2 linked regions of the Xenopus tropicalis genome follow. The protein of the gene in region 1 interacts with the protein of each later gene in a biochemical or structural test. Links are inferred from orthologs where the notes say so. Each region holds a gene or a part of one and is shown on either strand. Other genes may lie near its edges.

Evidence for each region.
Region 2: the proteins of bnip2 (region 1) and arhgap1 form a complex in vitro, tested with the Homo sapiens proteins (2 studies listed by BioGRID). The link is inferred for Xenopus tropicalis from reciprocal best matches to the Homo sapiens genes BNIP2 and ARHGAP1.

The regions. Positions count from the first base shown.
Region 1 is NC_030679.2:96,408,765-96,412,590, reverse strand, and holds part of bnip2 (BCL2/adenovirus E1B 19 kDa protein-interacting protein 2), read right to left. Parts: coding exon 3,714-3,826; intron 2,441-3,713; coding exon 2,338-2,440; intron 1,445-2,337; coding exon 1,313-1,444; intron 990-1,312; coding exon 903-989; intron 811-902; coding exon 712-810; intron 1-711.
Region 2 is NC_030680.2:12,963,581-12,967,406, forward strand, and holds part of arhgap1 (rho GTPase-activating protein 1), read left to right. Parts: intron 1-1,946; 5' UTR 1,947-1,954; coding exon 1,955-2,090; intron 2,091-2,185; coding exon 2,186-2,281; intron 2,282-3,826. UniProt on the Homo sapiens protein: GTPase activator for the Rho, Rac and Cdc42 proteins, converting them to the putatively inactive GDP-bound state. Cdc42 seems to be the preferred substrate.

The sequences.
Region 1 (3,826 bases):
GATCTCCCTTCAGCAGAACATTGACTTAACCTGTAAGTGCTGAATAACAAATCCTCCCTGGCTTTGGAACTGGCCGGTTGCCCCCAGGTACTTACACGTTACTTTGCACTCCTGTGCAGGAAGTCTGCCCATATTGCAAAATGCTTATTATGGAGGCACCTATATGCAAAAAATTGCATAGAAATGCTAAACTAAACAATTTTGAATTAAACAATGATAAGGGGATATTTATACACAATCAGTATAGATATATGTCAATAGTAAATTGCAATGTATATGAGCAAATTATATCTCTTTGAACTTTACTTTATTTTCTAAATTCTTAGTAATTCCTTTTTATTGTGTCCTTCGGTATCCATTATACATTTTGTGCACATTGCCTTAAAGATTTGCATATAATTTAGTGACAAAACTTCCTAATATCAGTATTATTTGATATTGCAGTTTATAAACCATACAGTAATGGTTAAAAACAAGTAATCAAATATGTTTTATAGGACAAACAATTAGAATCTTGGTTATTCCTTGTACCCAATTATTTATGTTAAAGGCAATTTGGCAGCAGGAAAAGAAATATCACACTTATAGCAATCAATGTAGCACAGAGCTGTTTGCCTTTCTAATATTAAACCATATATTATCATATAACTGTCTCAAACTAAGTTTCTAACTACACAATGACAAATGAAATAAACAAAGAACATTACATACTCTTTTATGCATTCCGGTATGCTGACGTACTCCATAGGAATAAGTTCTGCTAATTCAACCAAGCTAAAGACATATTTAATTTTCTGGCTGAATTTTGAGCTAAAAACAAAATAAAACAACAATGGTTATTATGGTAGCTACTGTAGTAATATAATAATTAAATATAGAAGATCAGATTTCATTTCTATTACCTAATGAAGGGCTTTGTGATAGCTAGAAGTGTTCTGATAAACCAGGAAGGGTGTACTATGATCAAAGACTTGAGATTTTTCCGTAACCTTTTATAAAGAAAGACAAGCATTTGATTAGGCCACATGAAAATAAGTCTAGCAAAATTGAAAAATATATATAACCGTTGACCAGTAGAGTGCACATTTGTGCATCTTTGTTCAGTGCAGTTAAGTCACATACTTGATTGCTCAGGCTTTAGGCAAATCCTAATCTTTAAAAAAAACTTCTGGGATTCTGTGAATTCCAAACTGTATTCTGGTTTCTGTGCTTCCCTAACAACAGATTGACCTGAATGCATTAGCATTCAAATACATAATTCAACTTACATCTGTAACTGTAGCCCCCAATTTATTTGATGCTTTAGACATACCTCCTATCAATTTGTTGATAGCATTTCCTAAGCCATCCTAGGCTAGGCATTTTCCTCCGCGTTGTGGCTCCATTTAAATAAACTATCATGTAGTTTTCTGCAACTAACATTTCCAAAGTGCCAATAACATACCTGATGAATAAGCAGAGATACTTATTATTATTGAAAAATAAAAATACAAAACTGGGAACAAAATCAAAAAGACACAGCAAAAAAAAAAGGGGTAAAAAGCTGGTTGCATAGTACTAACAATCACCTAAATAAAATGGGGAACAGAATGAATGAAGCGTAGCAAAAAGGAATAAAGTTGGTCACAAACTACCAAGCACCAAATTCTCTGTGTGGATCCACAACCAAGTTAGTCTAACAGCTGCAAAGCAATGTGGCTGCAATAGAGATGATTACAAAAAAATAAGAATACAAAATTTTGGTCTGCTAATATGAGCCCCAATGCCATTTATGGGGTCACCAGGAACAAGATGGGGCCACCATTTCTTAGTGGTCTCATCATTCTGCCCAATATGTGCAGTTTGGACAACCACACGTGGGCAGTATTACACAAAAGGACCAAGACTTCATTAATCACCTTCTGTTTCTAATCTGTGTGGTAAATTATGACCCCCTTACTTAATATAAGTATATTCAATGTTACTGAGGGGCTTCAAAGACAAGATGCTGCAGGCCGAGTGCTTTGCATGCCCTATGGAACTTTGAGGTGCCTTCTAATATGCATATAATTTAAATGAGGGGTATATTTGTTTTTATGACACTGGCTTTTTTATTTTTTTTTACCAACATTGGACTAATGAAAAGCAACAGCTGTTCAGTGTTAGTAGAGCCCAGGTGCTTCAAGTAACACAACTGACACCAAAGAGCAGCACCAATAACTAACAACATCACTAAACAGTTTCCAAGGACATATTCTACAGGCTACACATGGCTAGTGAAATATAAAGTATTTAGTATATAATTCTTTATATACAATCGTACTGATATAGATAATAAATACAGAATGCAATACTCACTTAAATAGATTGTCCATTAGGTAGCGATAATTAGGTTGACCACTATCAGGCATAAAGCACACAGCAAACACTATAATTGCATTTAATCCATCTCCATAATAACCTTTAATGAAAATAATTATAATAAGTCAGTGGAAGAGAAACACAGGTTTTTCATTTTCTAGATCTTTTCATTTGTGTAATAAAATATGTTTGTGCAGAGGCATAACTACAGAGGGAGCAGACCACATTTGTGGATTATATATTGAATAATGTACCCCCTTATTTTTCCATGACCATATAGCACAAGGCTGAAATGCTCTTATACAGGTCATGGAACTTTGAGGTGACTTCTAATATACGCATATTTTAGCACAAGGGGTGCATTATTTATTATAATACACAAGTTTCAATGAGTCAAGTGAAAATACAACACTTTGACATTAAAGGAGAATGCAAGTCAAAATTTAAAAAGCATACTGCCCAATAGTCCTCCTATTGTTTAGTAAAAACACCACACTTTTGGCTCACCTAATCAAATATTTACTCAGTCACACTTACTTCACATTTTCTAGAACAGGCAGCCATCTCTAAAAAGGTATTCTCCCTTCCTTTCCCTCCTTGCTTCATACTGCACGTGTTTCATTCCCTCCCCCCCTCCCCTCTGCCAGATCCACTTCTGATTGGCTGGTGGGCATGTGTAGCTCAGAACAGGAGACAGGATCAAGTTACACACATGCTCAGAGAATGGGAAGGCTGCCGCTGGCTGTAGGCTGTAGGCTGCCAGCACCATATCTCAGAGAAGCAAGCAGGGATCTGGGAATTTGGATATGCAGTAAGTACTTAAAAAGAATGCCTTTAGACTTACTTTTAATTTATATTAACCTTTCATTGTCCTTTATAAGTCATTATAATTGATCCCATTACTAGGTACAATTTATAAAGATATAATTAACAGAGTATTCTGGGCTTTTCTATCTATCTATCTATCTATCTATCTATCAAATAATACAACATCTTCTAATCATATAAAACTGCACTCACAGGTCAATGATGTAAAGTAAAAAAAGTGGTAATTTATATAGTTAGTCTCCTTTTTTTTTAACCTAATATCAATTTGAAGCTTGTGCTGCTATTTTGCGATCCACCTCCTTCCCAGGAGGCAGAGCGTGCTATTTATTTGCCATTGCACTAACTACCAGCAATGATTATGCATTAGAGATCTCATTACATACTTTGTATAGATCCAAAGTGTAGCCCTCACACTAAAATCACACATGTTTCTCAGTGCATTGCCGCAAAGGTAATACTGAAATTACTATTTAAATAATAATAATATAAAATGAGTGCATGGTTTTATTGTGAGCAGAAGATTACATGTAAGTACCTCTTCTTACCTCCATGGCTAATAACTTTTTTATATGGTTCTATGGCAGTCATATCAACCCTATGATCTTGCTCGCCAATTCTGAACATACGCCAGCGTCTGCTTTCCTCTTTCTCCTCTGCC
Region 2 (3,826 bases), on another chromosome or scaffold:
CACCTTACAGCCCCCCTGGCATTCCCAGTACCCAGAGGCACAAACAGCCCCCCCAGCCCAATAAATAGGGACTGTCTGTGGCACCTTACAGCCCCCCTGGCATTCCCAGTACCCAGAGGCACAAACAGCCCCCCCAGCCAATAAATAGTGAGTGTCTGTGGCACCTTACAGCCCCCCTGGCATTCCCAGTACCCAGAGGCACAAACAGGCCCCCCCAGCCCAATAAATAGTGACTGTCTGTGGCACCTTACAGCCCCCCTGGCATTCCCAGTACCCAGAGGCACAAACAGCCCCCCAGCCCAATAAATAGTGACTGTCTGTGGCACCTTACAGCCCCCCTGGCATTCCCAGTACCCTGAGGCACAAACAGCCCCCCCCCCAGCCCAATAAATAGTGAGTGTCTGTGGCACCTTACAGCCCCCCTGGCATTCCCAGTACCCAGAGGCACAAACAGCCCCCCCAGCCCAATAAATAGTGAGTGTCTATGGCATCTTACAGCCTCCCTGGCATTTACCAGAACCCACAGATTGCCAGTCCGGGCCTGGGGATGGGGCAAGGTTATGGAGTGTGTACCTAGGGCAGTGCCGTATTAAACAGGAGACAATCCCTGGGCACCATCAGCCTAATATGTTTGTGTTCTATGAATAAAGGCAGCGGTGTAACTAGAAGTTAAGGGGCACTCCCCATTGGGCCCCCATGCAACTCGTAGGCCCCTCAGCAGTCACAGGGCCTGCTCCCTCTGTAGTTACCCCCATGTATAAACTATAAACCGTCTCCTATTTCTTCCCAAACACCCTCTGTTTGCACAAGTTCCGTTCCACTGACCATAAATGAGTTGTTTGCTCCTGCGCCTCTGTCACCAGTAACCAACTGTACGTTATGGCTGCTCCCCCCCCCCCCCAAGGAATCGGTAAATTGACCATGAAGGACACAGTACCTGCCCAGGTATAGGAAACGTTAGATTGCACGGCCGTAGTGACCAGCTATAACCAGCGCATGGGGTTGGATGTACAGTAAAACCTGTTGTTTCTCCACAATGAAAAACATCAGCATCAAGGCCAAGTTATACCTCTTTCTGTTGCTATGGAAACAGGCTACTTGCATTACATGATCTAACAAAACGCTTTATCCGAAATCTCATACATGCCCTGCACAATTGCACAACGATCGCTGATATTATGAGCTGTAAAAAGTACTCGGCTGAGAACTGGCTCATTCACCCCTTTCCTTGTACCCGTGCCAACCCCCCGGGCTCCTTGCCAGCCCTTTGATAAGGATATCAGTGTACCAGCTCAGCGATGCAGAGCCGCACGTTGGCAGGCCTTGTGGTGGGGGTCGTAGCCCTTAGATTCCATTCGGGCAACCCTGGCAGACTCGATACAAATGATTAACCCGGTTTTCAGAAGGGGCAGAAGTACCACAGAACCCTTCTTGCATCTCTAGGTGTTTATTAACCAGCAGGTTTCTCTTGTTTTTCTTGCGTGTGTAATTACAGTGTGACTTCATGGCAGCGTTTAAATTCAGCAGGGGGTTTAAACATAACAGGAAGAGGCGTTAAAGTGGCAATTAACATGTGTTAGTGCCCACCTTTAGCATGGCTACCCTAGCCACCAGGCTGTAAATGTAGCCTCCCACTAATCCCCGATTCTGCTTTATGCTCAATGGGCTTGGTTGGGTTTATGCAGTGTTTATACTGATTGATCAGATGTAATCCTATGCTTAGGGGCAGATAGCAGGGGGTTCTGACTGTGCACGGTCAGCTTAATGTGGGAGCTGAACAGGAGCTTCCCTAGATCTGGACCCATAGTACCCCAGAACTCAAAGCAGTTGCACCTTCTTTATACAGTAGGAAAAAATTTAATACAATTAATGAATGTTCGGTTGCCCTTGTGTAGCTTTATAGTGCTGAACCCCCAAATTCCGCCTAATCCGTCTTCTCCTTGCAGAGATCAGTATGGCGTCCGACCCTCTGTCAGACCTTAACGATGACTTGGATAAGGATGAAACCAACCAGCTGGACCAACTGAAACTGGCGTCTTTGGATGATAAGAACTGGCCCTCGGATGACGTGCAGGATTATCCGAATAACGGTAATGCCTTCTTTTACCGGATTTAAACTAATTGGTGGTAGGTAAACGGCGGTGGCATGGGAAATTCAGTGTTCGTTTTTTTTGTCTTTATTCAGCGAATGATTCGAAGCCTTCCCCTGACCCTGTGACCCACCTACGCTGGGACGACCCATACTATGACATTGCGTGGCGTCAGATTGTAGAGGTAGCAGGTAGGAACTTTCTCTTTTATGTGCTCATCGGACATCCCCCCCCCCCCCGGCATCTCATAAAAGAAAAAAGAAAAAAAACAAGATTCCGAGCAGCTAAAACCCTCCGGCAGCCCCACAGGCTGCTTTACCAACTCCATGTTACCTTTGCCTAGCGTAGGCTGTGCGTGCTGGTTAATAGGTTTCCCTGGGAAGGAAAGGACTTGTCCCAACAGCTCCCAGGGCCTCACCTCAATGCAGTCTATCAGCCATTGTCTAAGGATGGAGGATTCCAATGCAGCAAGTCACACAGAGACCATGGTTTTCATTTATAATTTGCACAGATTTCACCCTTCCAGAGAACTTTCCACGCTAAGTGTTTTTCTTTCTTTTTTTGCCTCTCGTTCTCCCCCGCCCCCCTCCGAATTGGGAAAACCAAATCAGACATTTCTGACATACTTTAGCTGGTGTGTCATGTTTGTGCTTTCCAACCTCTTAGCTTTGCCTTTGTCAGCACCCCCCCCACTCTCAAGCCACAATAAAATGATGCTACTTAAATGGAAATAAACAGATTCAAATATCTTGCCATTTTGGGTAAATGTTGCAGGTCAGGGATGAAATGGTTATGAGATCTTATAGCTGCCTGGAAAGATATCCCATGATTCATCTCTCTGTGGCACCGTACAGCCCCCTGCATTTGATTCGTCAGCTGGGATATCACAGGCAAACCTATTGCTCCACTGGGGCCCTACGGGTGCAGGCACAGGGAAAGGCTGATGCCATTGTAGGGGCTGCGTGTATCCACAGGCAAGGAATTTGCCCAGTGGGGCATTAGCCTTAGGCGGTGAATAAAAGGGCCCAGCCTATTGGTTAGGGTCAGATTGAAAGCTCTTATCTTATTATGAGTTGAAGGGGAAGTCTGACCAAAGGTAGGAAAGGATTTTCCAAGGGACATTAGGTATCACTGCTGAGTGGGTTAGAATGAAGTGATCCTGGCAGTGAGATGTCCATACCCTGTGAGCAGCAGACTTGCAGTTGGTCTCACTGTATGGGAAGCCCTACAGTCTGGGAGGCTGTGCGCTTAAGAACTTGGCTTAGAAATAAAATGAAAGGCCTGGTGTTAAAAAGGAAGTTAAACTTCCTCCCATAATATTTAGTGAGATTTACAGCTTACTGTGTAGGGTGCGTTTCCCCTGTCTCTGTTACAAGGCCAGTGGCACAAAGCACAATTGTGAGCGAGAGTATTGCCCCTAGGCAATAGACTTAAGCAACCTTTTCCCAATAAACCGGTTCTGCTCAGTCTGTGTGCCATGACATCTGTAGTAGAGATGGGCAGGAATAAATCCACTTGGGGGGGGGGTTAAATCCACTTGGGAGGGTGGGAAGGAATAAATTCACTGGGGGGAGGGCAGGAATAAATCCACTTGGGGGGGTGGGAAGGAATAAATCCACTTGGGGGGGTGGGAAGGAATAAATCCACTTGGGGGGGGTGGGAAGGAATAAATCCACTTGGGGGGGGTGGGAAGGAATAAATCCACTTGGGGGGGTGGGAAGGAATAAATCCACTTG